2 linked regions of the Drosophila melanogaster genome follow. The protein of the gene in region 1 purifies or fractionates together with the protein of each later gene. This does not show direct contact. Each region holds a gene or a part of one and is shown on either strand. Other genes may lie near its edges. The genes, in order: CG13928 and smg.

What was found.
Region 2: the proteins of CG13928 (region 1) and smg purify together in Drosophila melanogaster (affinity purification with western blotting, with the first as the bait; one study listed by BioGRID). This does not show direct contact.

The regions. Positions count from the first base shown.
Region 1 is NT_037436.4:1,625,879-1,635,203, forward strand, and holds the start of CG13928 (uncharacterized protein), read right to left. Parts: upstream 2,500-9,325; 5' UTR 2,072-2,499; coding exon 1,334-2,071; 3' UTR 1-1,333. Other genes in the region: nSyb (neuronal synaptobrevin), read right to left, coding at 7,371-7,627, 9,308-9,325.
Region 2 is NT_037436.4:8,992,932-9,002,256, forward strand, and holds the start of smg (smaug), read right to left. Parts: upstream 4,164-9,325; 5' UTR 3,923-4,163; intron 3,641-3,922; exon of another isoform or gene 3,551-3,640; intron 3,319-3,550; exon of another isoform or gene 3,131-3,318; intron 2,987-3,130; exon of another isoform or gene 2,792-2,986; intron 2,635-2,791; 5' UTR 2,537-2,634; coding exon 168-2,536; intron 111-167; coding exon 1-110. Other genes in the region: CG5087 (uncharacterized protein), read left to right, coding at 5,524-5,678, 5,732-6,221, 6,285-6,665, 6,722-7,347, 7,408-7,526, 7,672-8,852, 8,914-9,198. UniProt on the Drosophila melanogaster protein: Translation regulator that binds to the 3'-UTR of specific mRNAs such as nanos (nos) and prevents their translation. Prevents translation of unlocalized nanos in the bulk cytoplasm via the recruitment of cup.

The sequences.
Region 1 (9,325 bases):
TTCGTTTGCTGACTCTTGCGTAAATATCTACGGTTCTGTTCGGATCGCTGGCGTGGAGTCCACGGAAAATATTGCTGTCGGATCGGTGTAAAAAAATAGATCAATTACGAAATGTACATCCATTATACTCGGTCAGTGAGTTATTATTGCAACGGATTTGCCCAGCTTCGTTTCCTCTAGTTTCGTCTCTAGTCCTGTCCGTGTGGAACGTGTGTGGTAACTGTGATAACTGCCATCCGGGCCGGCGGACATCCCAACTGGGAGTGCCGGCCGTCGAAAACGCAAATGCATATATATATATACTTTCGATCTGAATCTGAATGGGTCTAGCTGCTGGCCAGTGTCCTGTGCAGTGGTTCGCAAAATGTCCAAACGTCTTTGGGAACAGGAACAAGCTTTGAAAATGCCTCAAACTACATACATATACGAATACAATATAAGCCGTCGTCTGCTTGAATATAGGTTTTGATATTGGTTACGGTTAAGTACTTAATGTGATAGGTAGTCGCACACGCGTCGTAGTAGAATCTCCGTAGGTCTGGTCGATCCGTAGGATCCCCACACCCCGGAAGTGAGTTGGAAAATGAAGATGAAGGGAGAACCTCGGTGCCTGGATTGACTGGGTTGAATGTTTGATTGGTAAATGGTTTAAATACGCGCCTGAATAACCGCTTTCGGTGTGTGTGTGTGTGTGTGTGTGTGTGTGAGTGTCTCTTTAAGTACGTTTAGTTGGTTTCCTTAGTTTTCTCGTTTTGTTTTCGGTTTACTTTAATTTAAGTACGACAGTAATGCATAAATGACTAATATTTTTTGCTTCACATCTATTTTACTTGTGAGTTTGCCATTAAAATACTTTTGGTTTTCTTTATCGATTTCATTTCGTTATTTACGCAACGCTAAAACATTTTAAAATGCATTTTCAAAGTTAATTCAATAAATATGCTCTTGGTTTTCCATTAGATAGGTTCTGTAAGCTTTTAAAGATCTAGACAATGTTTTCGAGTGTCGAAAATTAGCATACAATGGGGGCACATAGTTGCTCCTCCGTCTGCTGCTCCATCAATCAGCCCAAGTCGGCGCACTCGGGGGAATCCGCGGTGTGCTGCAGTCCGTATAGCAACCCTTGTTTGCCAGGCCGCGATGCAGTTCCTCCTCTTCCTCCTCCTCCTGCTGCTGCTGCTCGTAATCATTCATCCGCTCCCTGCGCAGGCGCACTCTCTCCCTTGGCTACCTGCTCTCCAGCTGCTCATCCTCCTCATCCTGCTCAGCCTGTCCTATGCTCCTGCTTCACCCTCGCCCGGTCACCGCTCTCCCGGCTGCCGGGCCCGTTCCTCTAGAGGCGATTCTGGTTGAGCTGGGAGCGCGGAGTGAAGGGACTGACCATCACGCCGCTGGGCCAGATGGCCTCGTTGAAGAGCTCGTTGAAGCGGTAGTCCGGAATGGAGATCTTGAACTTGCAGTACGACAACTGCGACAGGTTGGCATCGTTCTTCACCAGCTTGGTGCACTTGACCAGGTTCTTGTTGATCTTCAGCTCCTCGGCCAGGTGATCGATCACGTCCTCCTCGCTGGTGTTCGTGGCGAACTTGCCCACCTGCACCCAGCGCCCGTAGTCGCAGACCACTTGCAGTCGGTCGGAGTTACAATTGTTTCCTACCACAATGAGGTTGTTCTGCTGCGGATGCTTCTTCCCGTCCAGTCCGCCACCCAGGCCGCCGCCACCCACGCCGGCGGCCGAGGCGCCCAATGCCTGAAGCGGCTGGTTGCCAAACTGGAAGTACTGCTGGTACATACGGCCCTGGATCTGGTTGACCCCGTTGCACACCTTATTGACCTTTTCCTCGATGGTGTGCAGCTTGGCCGCGAAGGCTCGTGGCGACTGGTTTTTGCACTCGTCGCAGTGAAAGGATATCATCGAGTTCTTCTGGATCGCCTCGAAGACCGCGTCGTCGATGTTGACGCACGTGCGGTGGTACCTTCTCCGGCAGTCCTCGCCGCTGCACCCGATGCTCGTGGCCTCCTTGGCGGCGATCGATTTTTTGCACTTTGGGCAGTTATTGTTGTCGGCCATGGTGACTTTGGTTGGTTGATTGGTTAGTTGGCTGGCTGGTTAGTTGGTTGGTGACTATCGATTTCGATTCTGAATCCGAACCCGAGTCTGATTCAAGCAGGCGGAAAAAGAGAATTCGAACTTTCAGGAAAAAACACACGCACACTGTGGAGTCACACAGTGGGTATATACACTACGGCCACAGCAACAACGGCAACAGCAGCAGGCAGCAGCAATAACAACAAGCGAGAAATTCGAGCGAAAGTCGCCTCCTCTCCGCTCCACCCTCTCTCACTCTTCTTCCTGTGTCTGCGTCCGTGTGTGTGTGTGTGTGTGGCGAGTGCTGTGTGTGTGTGTGCGGGAAGAGTGCTGAAATCGGGAAAGAGAAAACACGCAGACGACCGAAACTTGACAACCGCACGCTCCGAAGTTTGCAGACTGACTGTGCGCGAGCCACCGATTGCGTTTCCGAATTCGAGACCAGGTCCGCCGATTCGGATTCGGAATAGAAGTCGGAATCGGATACACTCGGCACACCGTGCAATCCCAACACCACATGCAACCCCCGATAAAGCTGCCACGCCAGGGGTGGCTTTAACCACTATTCTCGCCATATGATTGACCAGCCGCCGACCCGACTGGCAACCAGTTTTGTTCTCGCCAGCACTCACCCCCAGTGCCACTCGATTGGGGCTCCTCTGCACGACAGTGTTGGAAATAGGGGTAAGTGCAGTGTGTGCAGTAGAAGGATTGAAACACCGTTACACCAGTGATTTTAAGGTTATATGTTTTTTTCACATTTTATACATTTGTATATTTAACTGGCCAGATTGATGAAACATAATATAATCTTGGATATGATATGTTAGCATAACATTTTTACTGTAGTTTGGCATCGCTTTTATGCTGTATAATTATAAATCGCATATTCTAAAGATTTGTATTGTATATGATAGATTGTCCTTGAATGTGGAACTAGAATTCCAAAATAATACTTTAAATACTACCATGCTTTCGGAAGTAGCAATAACTTTACTTATAGTACAAATCGTACGAAGAGCACTACTTACTTTGTGTTGTTATGGCCAATTAAAGCGGAAATGGGGTCAACTTTACATACAAGTCGTTATATCAAATCCCCGGCTTACAGTCACTTCTGCTCTGCTCACAATCGCTTTTCAAGGCAATTAATCAAATTCACACCCGTAATTTGCTGCAGTTGGGGCAGTAATTGGGGCCGTTATACTGCTCCCTGCAGCGCGCCACCCGCCGAGTGCAACTGGCAACAGTTGGCCGTTTCCCGGATGAACTCTCACCTGCGGACGCAGCGACTGGGAAAAGGGAATCGCGAGCAACACGGTCCGCCAACTGAGGCTGTGCGCACGAGCTGCGTGGTATTTATACGCCACTCTGCTCCACTCGGAGATGTGTCCCTTCTGCTTTTCCTTTCCCTAATCCTTGGTGTCGCAGAGGGGATGATGGCCAAGTGATGTGGGCGGAAGTGGGGGTGTTTGCGCATGTCCTTGCCGGGAAATGGCATCGAAGTTGATAACAATAAACAAGTGATTTTTCGTTGACTGCGAGTTGAGACCTCAGAGTTACCAGGAATGCAGGGACTTACAATTATGCATTTTTCAAATCGATTTTTAAATATGTTAGCACATATCAAGTATACATACGAGTGGAACTCGCAATTTAAATCTATAAAATTTGTAGAACACCAACTATTTGAATAGCAAGTTTCTAATAGAAACCAATATACCCCTGGGAAAAAGTTGGGAGGTGTTAGAATGGCAGGAAAATGCAAATAAAATTTGCAGGTGCTGCGGCAGCAGCTGTTATTGTTTGCCATCCGCCGCCAGGATTTGCCTGGCGGACACCTGCGGTAATTGGGTTTCATTAAGTGCTGGTTGCCGGGCGGCTTTGGTCCTGTTCCGTCGCAGGGGCCATCGATTCCTTTGTGGAGCCTTGTTAGCGCCGCTCCAATTTCGCGTCGCCTGCATTGTCAATAGATTTTAATCAGGTGTGGCAAGTGTGTGTGTGTGTGTGGTAAATAGGCGCCTGGTGCTCCCCCACTTGTCTGACATAAGCGTAGGCTCCCCACCGCAGACGGGTTTCTATTTCCATTACCCTGTTTGCACGCTGTCTGCGCCCCAATTGGTATTTATGTATGCAGACCAAGTGCGCAGTTTAGTGCGCTGGATAGTATGCTACACTTTTTGTGTGCTCCTATTTTTAGGCAGCGCATCCTTTGTCGCCCAATTTGGGAGTTAATCTGGTTCACGAGCTTGGAGAACATGTCAGCATTGGGAAATTTCCACATAATTAATATTTAAAACAATGAAGTTATTGTTTTCATTTAAATACCCACCTACTTCAATCAATATGCTTACCCAGCTTTAGAAAACACGTTGGTTTTGTTTTTATTTATTTATTTAAATAATTATGTATTTTCGGGGTGCAATTAATCATTAAATTAATTAGTAATATTATTGTTTATATACGGTTCATATATATATATACTCTCATTAGCCGTCTGTTGCTTTCGGGGATTCTTATAGAGTTTTTCTTTGTTTTGTGTGTCCGTCTTGGTAGACGGGAATTACTTCGGAATTACTCCGCCGCCCAAAAGGACTCCGGGAAATCGCAATGCGATGCCAGGAGCTCCAGTGGGCTCTCCGTACTCAGGGGCTTCATGGGTGTTGTTTCTGTGTATACAATTGTTTTCTTTTCGGGTCTGCTTAAAATCCAAACAAAAATCGAAACTCTTCTAAACATTTGTCATTGGTTATTACATACATATATTGATTTATATCTGTTAATGGTTATATGCATGTGAAGTGCCTGGGTGAGTTGAGATGGACATTGAACGAGATTGATTCTAATAAGCTTTAAGGGCGACATATTGTACACGCTACGAATATTGCTAAAAATACCTGCATTCGGATTTGGAATTGGATTTCGATTTCGTTTTCGCCATTAATCTTTGGTTTTTTCTCTAATTAATTTCGATTTTGTTCGTGCCCCAATGTGTTGGTAGGCAAAGCACTTTGGGCAGGCGCTTGTAGAATCAATTAGTTAATACATTAAACGTACTGTATGCTGTATCTTCAGAACAAGTTGGGTACAATATGTGCTGAGAGCTGTGGCTCTCTGAATCTGAATCTGAATCTGAATCTGATCCTGAATCAGATTCTGATTCTGATCCTGATTGGCTATCGGTTGTGATGGGGGCAATGTGTTCGGGTGGAGTGTGTGAGATCTAGATATCATATCGTTACATACACGTACATATATATGCTCTAATTACCGCCTCGTCTATTACTCGTAACATTGAAATATACAAACATATATGTATGCCTCGTCGAGCTAACTAAGTCCTGTGGATAACCAACGTATTTTGTGTCTAGCGCTTAATTTAATCGTTGAACTGTCTGGATTCCGCTTTCAATCGAACCTTTCGAGCTATTCTCAAACACAACAGTAATGATAGCGCGCACGTAAACAAAACGCAGCAAATGAATCGCTTGTATATTTTCACTAGACTTTGGGATTATTAGCTTTTGCTGCTGGCTTCATTTCTTTTTTGTTTGTTGTTTTTTTTTCCAGCCGACTACGCTTGCTGTTTTTGTATAAGTAAACTTGCTTGAAAACATTTAACTGCCTTTTCTCTGGCGGCCCGTCGATTCAAATTCATCTTTTTGGATTATACATTTCGAATATCATATTTGCGTAACTTTACTTAGGAACAAAGCTTAGATTTCATTTCTTTGGTTTCGCGTCTGTTCCGAAATAGTTATGATTCTGTTAGTTTTGTCTAGTCGATTTGCTAAGGAAACTGAGTTCAAAGAGCTGCGAACATCGGGAAGCGACCGCCTGTCCTCCTGCTTCCACTGGCGCTCCTTGTTGCCAGTGCAGCGTAGAGATGCTAGTTCCGTATAGGGTGGTAGTACAGGGTAGTGGTTGGAGTCACTCGTAATATTCAAGTTCCATATATTTGTATTTGTATTTAGATTTGTATTTATATTTATAATTATATATACCGTTTTATGCATGAAATAATGTAACCATAAACAAATTAGCAACAACTTCAAATTGTCCGGAGCGTCTGCATTAGATTTAGTATTAATATTATGACGTAAGTTACTTAAAACCTCTCACACCAACTCGTGCACATCGTCTAAGTGAAAATTATTATTGAGTTTTCATTGCAATTCTCGAGATTTTCTAGTTTAACTGAGTTTTCCTTTCTTGGTTTTCTTTTGTCTTCTCTGCTTTGTTTTCGCCCGCTGAAGGAGCACACTAATCGAGAAACTTTCGTCCTGGCAGCGGGATTGCTTACACGCCGCCGTGATCGCCAGCTCCTGCCGATCCTCCTGCTCCTGCTCCGTCTCCTGCTCCTGCCGCATCCACCAGCGATGACTGTCCTCCGGCTGGCTGCTGCGGTGGCGGCGGCGGTGGCTGCATGTACTGTGGGGGATACTGGTACTGTGGCGGCTGCTCCCCGCCTATGAGTCCAAGTTTATCTGTTTTAAAATGATGCAAGAATTAGTAGGGCACGACATGTGATGGCTCTTTGCGCTCTTTAGCCAATCTCAGACAACGATACACGAGTATACGCCAAAAATATTACACTTCAAGGCTTAAAAGCTCACTCATGACGGAATATAGCAAGTGGACATGGGATGTGGACGGTGGGTGGGGGCGGACAGCAGGGACAACTGCATCGAACAGGTATGGATATATATATATATATATACATATATATTTATGTACATTTAGGCAGTCACTGGAAGCTGTCTTCCTTTGAGCCTCCCGAAGAGAAGTCCTCTCGCTTTTGGTGCAATAAACTTAGGCCAATTTTAAAATACATACAACATTGAATTGTAAAAATCAAATAATAAGGCACTAATCACACATAGACATCGATTAACTCACATACATGCGGCTAAGGCTGGCGGTAAACGATGAGACACCGTTTACAGCCAGCCGAAATAATATAAAACCAGAGGAACGGCGGAAACGGAAGTGGGAGCACAAACGGAAACGGAAGTAAGAAGAAGCGCAGGTGTCAAATTACTGGGTATGATTATTTGCATTGATATGTTGCCGTTTTTTCGTTTGCTTACAGTGTATCGGATTAGATCGATTTTGTCAATGGTACAAAGAAAGTGTGAAATGTTTTCTTTTCGATTTTGATTAATTTTGACTATGGTTCTACGGATGCGTCTTGGTGGTTAATCGATGGCTGATTAGTTTGGTTGGTTGGTTGGTTGGTTGGTTGGTTGAATGTTGGTTTTCAAGAGAGATCGTGAGCGTTCTATTGTCCAGTCGCCACTTCATTCGACGGACTCTGTGGGTGGTCGGTCAATTTCTCGGCCAATGGTTTCTCGAGTGTCGGTGGTTCAGATTTTAGATTTTGTGTATGGTGGTGTGGTTGTAGTTGTTGTTCTTGTTGTTGTAGTAGTTGTGGTGGTGGTGGTGGTGCTGAATCAGGTGCAGTTGCCGATGCCGGAGCCACCTGCTGCTGCAAGGCAGGAGGCTGCGGAGCAGCATTATCATCCGACATGTACGGTTCTACGAGAAATTTTTCGGTGAGTTCATGTTGTTGTTTAATTCAAATCGATTTGTTTTCAAAGCGAGCAGATAAAGATGATAACAATAAAGTATAAATATAGAAACGGTTTTGAGCGATGTAAAACAAAGGATTTATCAACTGGTGCACCTAGCAATAAATGTGGCGTATGAGTAATAAATAAAAGATTGCTCTCGCTGTTTACCTCACACACAAAGTGTTATATTGGGTAAATTGATTTGCTTATGGTTAATAAAATTGTACAAAGCTGAAGCTTTCTGTGTGATTATTCTTCGTCTTTCTCTGTAATTGTTCAAAAATATGGTTCGGTGTTGAGAGTGTGTCAAATCAAGGTGAAAACATTAAAAAAAAACTTAGGTAAATGAAGAAGAATGGCAGTACTTTATGCTTTTGCTGTGGTTCAGTGGCACAAGAAAGGCTGGCTTTTCCAATCCGAAGGCCGTTGCGCTTGCGTGGAGGCTTAGTAACGAGTAACGAGTAACGAGTTGCGTGAAGGCTTAGTATTGAGTAACGAGTTACGAGAAGGGACTACTTTTACTGGGGAAGTGGATTCAAGTTTTGTATTTTACACAGGACATGGCACAGTCGTGTGTCTGTGGCTGGGGTGCTGCTGCCAATATCAGAACGAAACAAACGAAAAACGGATACGGATACGGATACGGTTAACGAAACACTGAACAAACCACAAACTTTACGATTACGGCTTACGGGAGTTAGAACTAGCTAGCTAGAACTTAAGGTCCTACGGATAAGGCTAACGGGCACCATTGAGTATCGGTCCATCTCCGCCAGATCGGCTTCTGGCCGGGGTCCTTCCATTGTCGTCCAGACCCTCAGCCGCAACCCACATGGACGGAGCTGGCGGATCCGATACTCGGCGTGATCTCAACTTGATTACTGGTGGTGGTTAGGCAACGTAACGAAACGAAACAACACAGGACACGACTTTCAGTGGGCATCAAATGAAATCTTTACCGAACCTGTGCGTATGCTCGTATGGAACCAGATGATGTTGGGCTTGGGCATACATGGTACACAATACAAATACTCGCATATGTATGCCACTTAGCATTTAGTTATTGTTCTAGTGGTGGCTGAAGCGCATGACATGATATGATCGATCGATCTATAGTTATGGGAATTTCGCAAGGCATCTAGGTCGAATCGGTTGAGCGAACGGTCAGTTGGACTGTGAGTTCGCAGCTCTACTCATAGCAGTTGTGAATGAGTTGAATTTGGTTTCGGTTTTGGTTTCGATTTGGATTTCGATTGGTTCTTATTGGGTTGATTGATTGGCTTTTGATTTGGTTTCGATTTGCATTGCATTGCGGCTAAGAACTAAATTCTTACGGATTAGATAGTTAGCAATCTACATAAAGTTACCTAGAGAAAAAAAGTGGCGGAATTAAGAACGCAATTTAGATTCGGTGTGTAGATAAACGAAAGCGATTTGGGCCAACGAAATCAGCGCTAAATCAAGGCGAACTCAAAAGACAAACACAACTGGGTAACTGGGTGATCTTGAAAGTATCTTCGGTTCTGTGTGTGCGTGGTGAGTCGAGTGGTGTGGTGTGGTGTGGCGTGGGTCAAGGTCAGTTTCTCTGGGGTATGTGTGTCCCAGAAATGAGTGCACCAAGTTCGCCCAGGATCTGTCAACTTACTTGCAATAATGCCCACGA
Region 2 (9,325 bases), 7.4 Mb from region 1:
GTGGCAGGCAATTTAGCGAAAAGTTTAGCATGTCGTTGGAGTTTTTGCGGTTGTTAATCCTATCGTTGCTGCCATTTTTAGTATCGCATTTGCGAGTCTTACCATTCCATCTAAAATAACAGCTCATTTTTAAAATGCATTACTTTTTATCTTATTGAAAACCTTACCTTGGCTTGTTAATGTTCCCATTGTTTGGCCCGACGCCGGCTGGCTTGACGTGATGCATTTTGGGAACCATGGAGATCTTCATTTTGGACAACTTAAACTTCAGGTCCTTGAGTTGACTGGCGTGATTCATAAATGCCTCGTTGTGGATAGAGCGGTCTAGAATCCACATAAGCACACCCAAAGTCTCGTCGTCTTGGACAGCATACGGATCCTGCTGCAACGTATTGGTCACAATGTCAATGACCTTAAGAAAACGCAGACCAATGTTTTCCTCCGGTGGTCCTGGAGACTCCAGTGGCTTCATTGGTGTCAGCACAATATTTGTTAGCTCCTCAACCGCCGTGCTCAGCTCCATTTGACCCGATAGCAGTTCTTGTTCTACCCGGTTAAGAATATTGGCCCGTTCCTTCAGCTTATCAATGCAAAGGGCAAGCTTGTGGGAGGCGCCCTTGGTGACGCCAACACTCTGCAGAAAGTCCTCGGTGATCAAGAGCATTTCCTCGTACGTCATGTTCTTGAACAGCTCGATGTACTTGTGCAGACGCAAGGATTTTAGCCAGAGTCCGATTCCCGACATGCCCACGTTGCGCGTGTGGAACTTAATATAATTGGGCTTGAATTCATCCAGACGAGTATCGGAACCGCTGTTCATCAAGGCGCCGCGCTGATGCTCAATCGATAAGGAAAAACTACGGGGCTTGTTGGCAAACTGTGCCAGATTCTCCGTTGAATTGGAGCAGTTGTCATTGACCGTGATCACCGATGAGTTAGACGAGCTGGAACAGCTAGAGATCGTTTGCGTGGTGAGGCTGTTAGAGCGCCGCGTCTTCAGGGCTGCAATCTTGCTGTCCAGGCTCCACCGGTTGATCTCTCCAAACTGATCGCCCACGTTTCCCATAAGGATCGAGGCATAGGGAGGAGGCTGAAGCAATTGCTGCTGAAGATTCGGCGGAGGTTGCGATCGATCCTCAACAGGATTTCCACCGTTACGTCCACAAAGGCTACTGCTGGCCAGACTACAGGCCTCACCCATGTCCGCCGTCACCGGGTCAAAATCGAGAATCTCCGTGCCATTCTTGCTAAATGACGTGTCATGATCGTCGCCACCAGCGATTCCCAACATAGAGCCTGCACCAGCGACCACACCGTTGACCAGGGAAGAGCTGCCCTCCAGCGACAGGCCGAGACTGTTCTGACTAGAAGCTAATTCGTTCAGGGTAATACCATTAAGATTATCACAGAGTGGATTGATCGACCCGCTGGAGCTGCCGCCTCCATTGCCACGCCAATCACCGGCCAATTTGTTTTGCAATTGCTTGCTGGGCGGGGCGATCGTTTGCCAGTCGTTGGTGCGTGAGGAACGGCTGCCGCTTGCGGGGCACAACGAGGATGAGGCCACCGACGAACAGGATGCTGTCGAAGAGCTGGTCGCCGAAGAGGAACAGCTACCACTGCCTGTTGAGCTACCACCAGCGACCAGTTGCGGCGAGGGCTGCAGGAAGTAACTGCGATTTGTCAGGCCCGCCGCAGCCGCTTGGATATGATCCTCCAAGTGACGCAGCCAAATGTTGAGCGAACGTCTGTCCTCGCTGGTGATAGCTGGATGGATGAGTAGGTACGAGAAGATCTGCTGCACCAACTCCGTGGGCACAATTTGCTGCATGGTGTCCTTGACGGCAACTGGTATAAGGGTCAGGTAGATAAGCTTGGCCTCCTCATTGCCCGGCTTCAGCAGAGGCAGCATGTTCAGTACTTCATGCAGAATGTCCTCCTTGCGGGCATACAGCTTCCGCTCGTCACACTGCGCCGATGTGGTGATCTGGAAGTCACTGCCGTAGCATGGCATCGAGTCCTTGTCGGACGACGAGGAGGACATGGCGTCGAGCAGGTCACATGGCTGGAACGTCTTGTAGGCGTTGAGTAGATTCTGCAGGTACACCGGATTGTTGGCATTGATGTCAATAACCACGCTGCTCAGATTGGTCTGGGAGGTGCCCAGGTTCTGGGTCAGGTTGCTGTCGATAGAATACTGTAGAAACTTGAGGCTCGGGTAGCGCAGCCGCTTGAGCAGCGCGTACATCACGACGGTTCGCTCGCAGTCGTTCCACTTCTCGAAGAGATTTGTCACTGTGGTCACCTGCTCGCAAAACAGCGCATTGGACGGCTGGCTCTGGCTGGGATTGGCGTTAGAATTGGGATTGCCATTGGCGTATGTCGCCGTCGTCGTGGCCGTTGATGTGGCCTCCTTGTGGGCTGCAGTAGGCGTTGATGTGGTTGGCTGCATCTCGTTGGATGCACTGTTAGAGTTATTGGTTTGGCCGCTGATGCCGGAGGTCATCGCGTTGTCAGTTCCAGTTGCGTACTTCATCTCGTTGTTAGTTGCTTCTTGTTTTTTGGGGATAGTTCTTACTATAGTTTATGGTATTGTATTTGTTACGGCTTCTTTGTGGTTATTTGGTTGCGTTGCTGCAAGTAAAGATAACGGGGTAGGATTAATAATTGAACTATTATGTAAAGCTAAACTTTGTGACTGTGGTAATACAATTTTTTTTATGCTCAATGAGCTGTATCATTCGCTTAAAGCCTAGTTTAGCCCAATCTAATCACTTCCATAGAAAAATACCACAATTCCGAACCACGTGATCCAATCAATAGCTTCTCCCTTATTCCATGGATTTGTCGCCATTGCTCCACTCGGGATTAGAGTGCCGTGCAGCGATAATAAAATAAACTTTAAGCCGCAAATAACGTTCGAATTTAATCAAATCAGTTTTCGCTAATTTGTTAAATTTACAAGCGCAATAGCAACAACAATTATCTGTAATTGACGAATGGAAATTAGCATTTGCTTGGTCGGCTGGCTTATCAGGAAAGCAAATAAACAAGCAACAAATATATAACACCTTCGATTCGCTTTGATGGCGCAAATGACGAGGGACGATAAATCAATAAAATAACAAACATTTCAAATACGAAATCGCTGATTTCGACTTGGCGGCGTTCGGATTTTGATTTCCGGGCGGGAAAGTAGAGCGGGGGCGAGAAGTTTGGTTAGGTTGTATTTTTTTTGCACAGTTTCGCGCTTTTCATTTAGTTTCGTTTGTGCCCATTTCGAATCTTGTTTCTTCTGCCGCCGTTGCTGTTGTTGTTATTATTGCTTTTACTCTGACGACTTTCTTCGATTTTTGTTGCCGTGTTTTCACAGTAAGCACACAAAACATTGAACAAATCAACGCATGGGAGTCAAAAAATTTGAAAATTAAAGTATCTATTTTTTAATGTAAAATGTAGTTTTAAGAGAAATTGCTGCATTTTATTTTTTTATCCTGGTTTACGACATCGAGTGTTGACTGTAATCTAAGCCAGAGACAGTGTAACTGACTGTGTATTGGTACCCCAACTTAAGTTAGTGTGTGTGAGCAAGCAGTAAAACATAACGGGCCCCAATTACTGCATTTAAAGCACATTCACTGCTATGGAATTTACCGATGTTAACTTCTTTGCTATTTAACGTAACGTTTTATATGAAATTTCACATTTCCCTGCGAGACTGGGAGCGCAAAAGAGTCGTTTGGGGCGACTCGATCTAACGGTACTTGTGCATGTCGATCTTTGAGGTTATGCGTCACTGCAATTGCTGTTGTTTTCTAACCGGCTTGCAAATAAAAAAATTACCGAAGTTCAACAAAAGTTCAAAGTTCAAAGATTGCAAGCACGCACACACACGCAAACGTAAAGGATACTGCAAACTCACACGCTCTTATATATTATCGTATTTTGGCTGCCCTTTCAGCAGTCGCGATCACAGGCGCTTGGCATATTCCGAACGCTTTTATTTACATATGTACGTTGCGAATAAATTTGATTATATCTGCAAAACTGCAGATCCAACCACACAGAACAGAAGAATTGGTTTAGCACAGCGAAGCTCAGCTGAAGACGAGAAGCTGCAGTGGGGAGCACCGCGGAGGAGGAGCGGCTGATGGCGAATGATTTGGCGCTGGCGTCAGCGATTTAGAAAGAAAATGGTGGAGCTGCAGAAGCAGCGCAGCGGCAGGCAGAGCGAAACGGGCGAAAAGGAGCGCGCGCCTTTTTTTTCTGACAGGATTGATGCTGATGCTGATGCTGCTACTGCTGTCAAGAAAATGGGGAGAGCACTCACTTACACGCACACACAGACGGAGACCTTGCTGCGCTCGTCGGCAGTGGTATGTGTGCGAGTGAGAGTGACACACTGAGCAATGCACGGGCAAAATTGCGGTAAATTACATGCATTACATTTAAGGGAGAGGGGTGGGGCTCCTGCGGGGTAAGCGGGTTTTGTTGTTTTCACCACACAGAGCAGCAGCGCACAGTACACAGAACACACAAGATTGGCCCCCAAAATCACGCCCCACCCACCTAGCCACGGTCGGCCAGACAACAAAAATATATAGCTACAGTGCGCTTGTGCCAAAATTCGTTCTATTTTTCAATTACCTTTTCGCCTTCTATTCGCCTGCTGCAAACCTTGAAATTATTTTCTGTTGCAATTCACAGTTTTGATTCGATCAGCACGAGAAACGAGCATATTTCGCTAATTTGATATGCTATCGGATCGCGTATTTATTAATTTATAATTTTCACCTTTGCTCGCGCGCGCGTTTGTGTGAGTGCGTATGTGTGTACTTTTTATTAGCACTTTTGGGCTTTAGCGTTGTTGTTTTTGCTAAACCATTACTTTTTTTTAGACACACAATTCATGGCGCTTACGCTCACAAACGCCCGATTACTGAGTACTGCGCACGGTTGCTGTTGCACTTGGTCGGATGCATGTTTCGCCAGCTAATCCATTTTTTCAGCAATTAATTAATTATTTATTCACGCGAACGCAGCGTTGCTAGTGCTGGAACAAAAATCGATGTGTACTCGATACAGTCGATCTTTCTTGCAAGCGGTTATCGGTTACTTTCCCTTGGTGATGGACGCTCAGTTGAGCAGCAAAGCTGCCCTAGGTTCGATGCCGTGCTCATGCAGCGCGGACTCAAACCACGGTTTTAGCTAGAAAATTGCCAACAAAAATGATCTCCGCGCTTTGGCCTATTTCTGTGGTTATTTGACAGTAAGCGGAGACGGTGACACTGTACCACCAATTGGAACAAAATAAGGATATTTTCTTTTTGCATTTTGCTCGATATGCAATGCAGAAAATATCCAGCGAGGCTCTGAATCAAGGCTCTGGGATAGCGTTCAGCTCGAGGAAGTGATTGAAACGATAAATACATCCCGGAACGGCCACAATCCCGACAAAAACAAACGCTCTGGTCAACAACAATACATCATCAACAAAATTCTTTCAACCTGCTGCAGAGCAAAATGTTTGCCCAAAACCAAAAGGCCAGCTTCCTGGAGCAGACAAAGGCGGCGCGGGAGGAGCGGGCACTGGAAAAGCGACGCGAACAGGCGGCCATCCTGCTGCAGTCCACGCTCAAGGGATATGCGGCGCGTAGGAAGTACCAGAAACGAATCATGTAAGTGTCTATCTACTTTTATGGAACATCCTAAATAGTAACCCGTTTTGCAGACTCGATTTCGATGCCATGTTCACTGAGAATCATGACGATAAGGATGCGGAACTGGAACTCGTGGCAAGCAACGTCTATCCGGTGCTTCGTCGCTACCTCACCCAGATCAGGCTGGACAAGAGCGATGTGCGTGCACGGGAGCGTCTGGAGCGCATCTGCCGTTACATCATCAAGGCAATGGAGTCGGAGAACACCAAGCTATCCTATGCCGCCCTCTGTCTTTTTAAGGAACGCAGCCTGCCCTGGATCGCGCACATCAAGATACTGCTCACGAACTGCCTGACATTGCTGCCGGAGCTGAAGCCGGAAAACCATGCCGACAGCTTGTCCCTTGCCCTATTTCTGCACACACTGGTAGTCTTCACGGCGCCCAAATCCTGGGCGATACTCAGGAATGCCCAGTTTGAGAAACTGCAGCCGGCCATGCAAAAAATCTGTTGTAATATTCAAGGTCATCTGGTGCAGCACGATTTTTACAAAATCATGCGGGTATGTTGTGACTTTTATTCTTTTAATAAGCTTATTCATGTTATTCTCCATATTATCATCCAGCTCGTTTTGATACGCGGCACTGTTCGCGAGGAGTTGTCTGTAAAGCCCGTCACCCTGGTGGCCATCATTACACTTTGCCTTCGTCCCCTGATCGATGGCAACTTCAGTCGTAATCTACTGGCAAAGTTTCTGTCGGAGATTCTGTCTGTGCCCGCTTTAATCTACCATCTGCAACAGAGTGTACCTCAGTGCCTGGAACAGTTCTCATCGATGGGACTGCTTAAGAAGGCGCTTAGCATTTCGGGGGACGTGCAGTGGTTCGAGGAGTTCGGCACTAGCATGCCGGGCACCAAGTCCCTGGCTTTTCTGGGAAACATAGTGAATTTGTTCAATATCGATGGCCAAGGGGAGTCCAAGGAGTTGGCCTATCCACTACTGACTGTGAGTTTTACATAAACGCTTCTTGATTGAAAAACTTATACTTGTAATCCTTATAGGAAACCACCACATCGCTGTTGGAACTAATACCCAACACGGTGACCACTAAGGGAGTATTTACTCAGTGGCACGAGCTTTTAGGATGGCATACTCCGGGTCCGGAGCCTGCTCAAAATCAGAATGTGGCGCTGATTAAGAAGCAGTTCCACATGTTGTGGGATCATCGCTGCATAAAACTGTTGCTCGGAGATCTCTTGAAGCAAATCAATCTTAACTACGAGCGGATCGAGTTTCAATCTCCCCAACAACCATCTATATCGAATCTGCTGCGTCGGGCCTTGGAGCGCAGCTCCACGAGAGGTGTAAACTTAATGGGAGTGGCGAGCAGCAAGCAGTCTAAGCAGCAGTGGCGCAAGCTCGACAGTGCGGAGGTGGTGCAGGTGTCACGAATCTGCGGCATGTATTATGCCGCCCTCAACACGCTTTCCCAGATGAAACTGGACATTCTGACTGGCATTTGCTACAGCGACAATGTGCTATATGATATTTGGTTGCTAATCACGTCCCTTGGCCCCAATTGTGGCATGAAGGAGTACTTGGAGCTGCTGAAGTCCGAAACAAACTTGCAAAAGCCACAGACCGCCATGCTGATGCTCTTTTGCGACTGCATGACGCACTACGTAACGTATGTAGATTCATTTTAAAACTGAACTTAGTTTTAAAACATGTAAAACCATCTCTGTAGGATTCTGGATGAACACGAAATGTACACGGAGCAGAATCCTTTCAAACTCAACGACTACGTGTTGCTGACCTACTTCCTTAATAATATTCTCTATAAACTTATTAACGATAATCTTCTGGGTAAGTCTGCTTTAATCTAATTTAATTAGTTTTCCCTAGTTAGTCTAAATGCAGCGGCTATAAATAAGCAATTAATATTTAATAGAATCAGAAAATAATTATATTTAATTGACTGAAAATGTTAAATGCATTTTGCAATCTCCAGCAGGTGCCAAGAACATTGTCCAGCATCCGGTTTTCCTCTCGCTGCACACTCTGATGCTTTGCTTGTACCGCCGCGATTGTCGTCGCCCATTCACGCCACCCAAACACTGGCTGATACCAGAGGTGAAACCCTCCACGTTCATCAATGACCTGGAAAAGGCCAAGAGGAATGCGATGCTGCTGCTCGCCAAGATGCCGCACATTATACCGCACGAGGATCGGGTCAAGTTGTTCCGAAAGTTCGTGCAGAATGAGAAGGCGGTGATGGGTCTGACGGAGAGTGCCTGCGCCTCACCTCGATCCGCACTAATTGTCATTCATCGCGATCGTATTGTGGAGGATGGCTACCGGCAACTGGCCGCCCAGCCCACGCAAGCCCTAAAAGGTGTTATCCGCGTGCGTTTTATCAATCAACAAGGACTGCACGAGGCAGGAATTGATCAGGATGGAGTGTTCAAGGAATTCCTTGAGGAGACCATCAAAAAGGTGTTCGACCCGTCGCTGAATCTCTTTAAAACCACCTCGGATCAGCGATTATATCCCTCGCCCATTTCCTACGTCCAGGACAATCATTTGGAGCTCTTTGAGTTTGTGGGCCGCATGCTGGGCAAGGCGGTGTACGAGGGCATCGTGGTGGACGTGCCGTTTGCCTCCTTCTTCCTCTCCCAGCTGCTCGGCCAGACGCAACAGGCCCTGTACTCCTGCATGGACGAGCTGCCGTCGCTGGACAACGAGTTGTATCGCAGTCTTACCTTCATCAAACACTATAAGCAGGATGTGTCCGATCTGAACCTTACCTTTTCCGTGGACCAGGATGTAATGGGCAAAATTGTCACGCTCGCTTTGCATCCGGGTGGCAAGGCGCGTGTGGTTAATGACCACAACAAGCTGGTCTACATACACTACATGGCCTTTTTCCACATGAACACCCAGATACGCGAGCAGACGATAGCTTTCAATCGTGGCTTCCGCAGCATCGTCAATCCAGAATGGTTGTCTCTTTTCTCGCCTCCCGAATTGCAGCGCCTTATTTCTGGGGACACTAGTCCATTGGACTTAAAGGATCTGCAAAAGCATACGCATTACTACGGTGGCTTCCACGACACTCATCAAGTGGTCTGCTGGCTCTGGGATATCCTGGCCAAGGATTTCACCGAGGAGGAGCGCAAGCTGTTCCTAAAGGTATGTCATTCATAGTTCAAGTCAAATTGGTGCCACTAACCAGCCGAGTTCAACTTTTCAGTTTGTCACCAGCTGCTCAAAGCCGCCGCTTTTGGGTTTCGCCCACCTGGAGCCACCATTCTCGATTCGTTGCGTGGAGGTTAGTGATGACGAGGATACAGGCGACACAATCGGAAGTGTGATTCGCGGTTTCTTCGCCATACGTAAGAAGGATCCACTCAACCGACTGCCCACCTCGTCGACCTGCTTCAATCTGCTGAAGCTGCCCAACTACCAAAAGAAGTCCACGCTGCGGGACAAACTTCGCTATGCCGTAAGCAGCAACACCGGATTCGAGCTGTCCTAAAACAGCTTGAAATATTCCCCTACTTCTTACCTTATTAAAATATGTTATTATTCCTTCTTAAGTATTCTTTCGTAGGCAATTTGGTGTAAATGTATTTCAAATATTTTTGTGGCCGCATCACAAACGG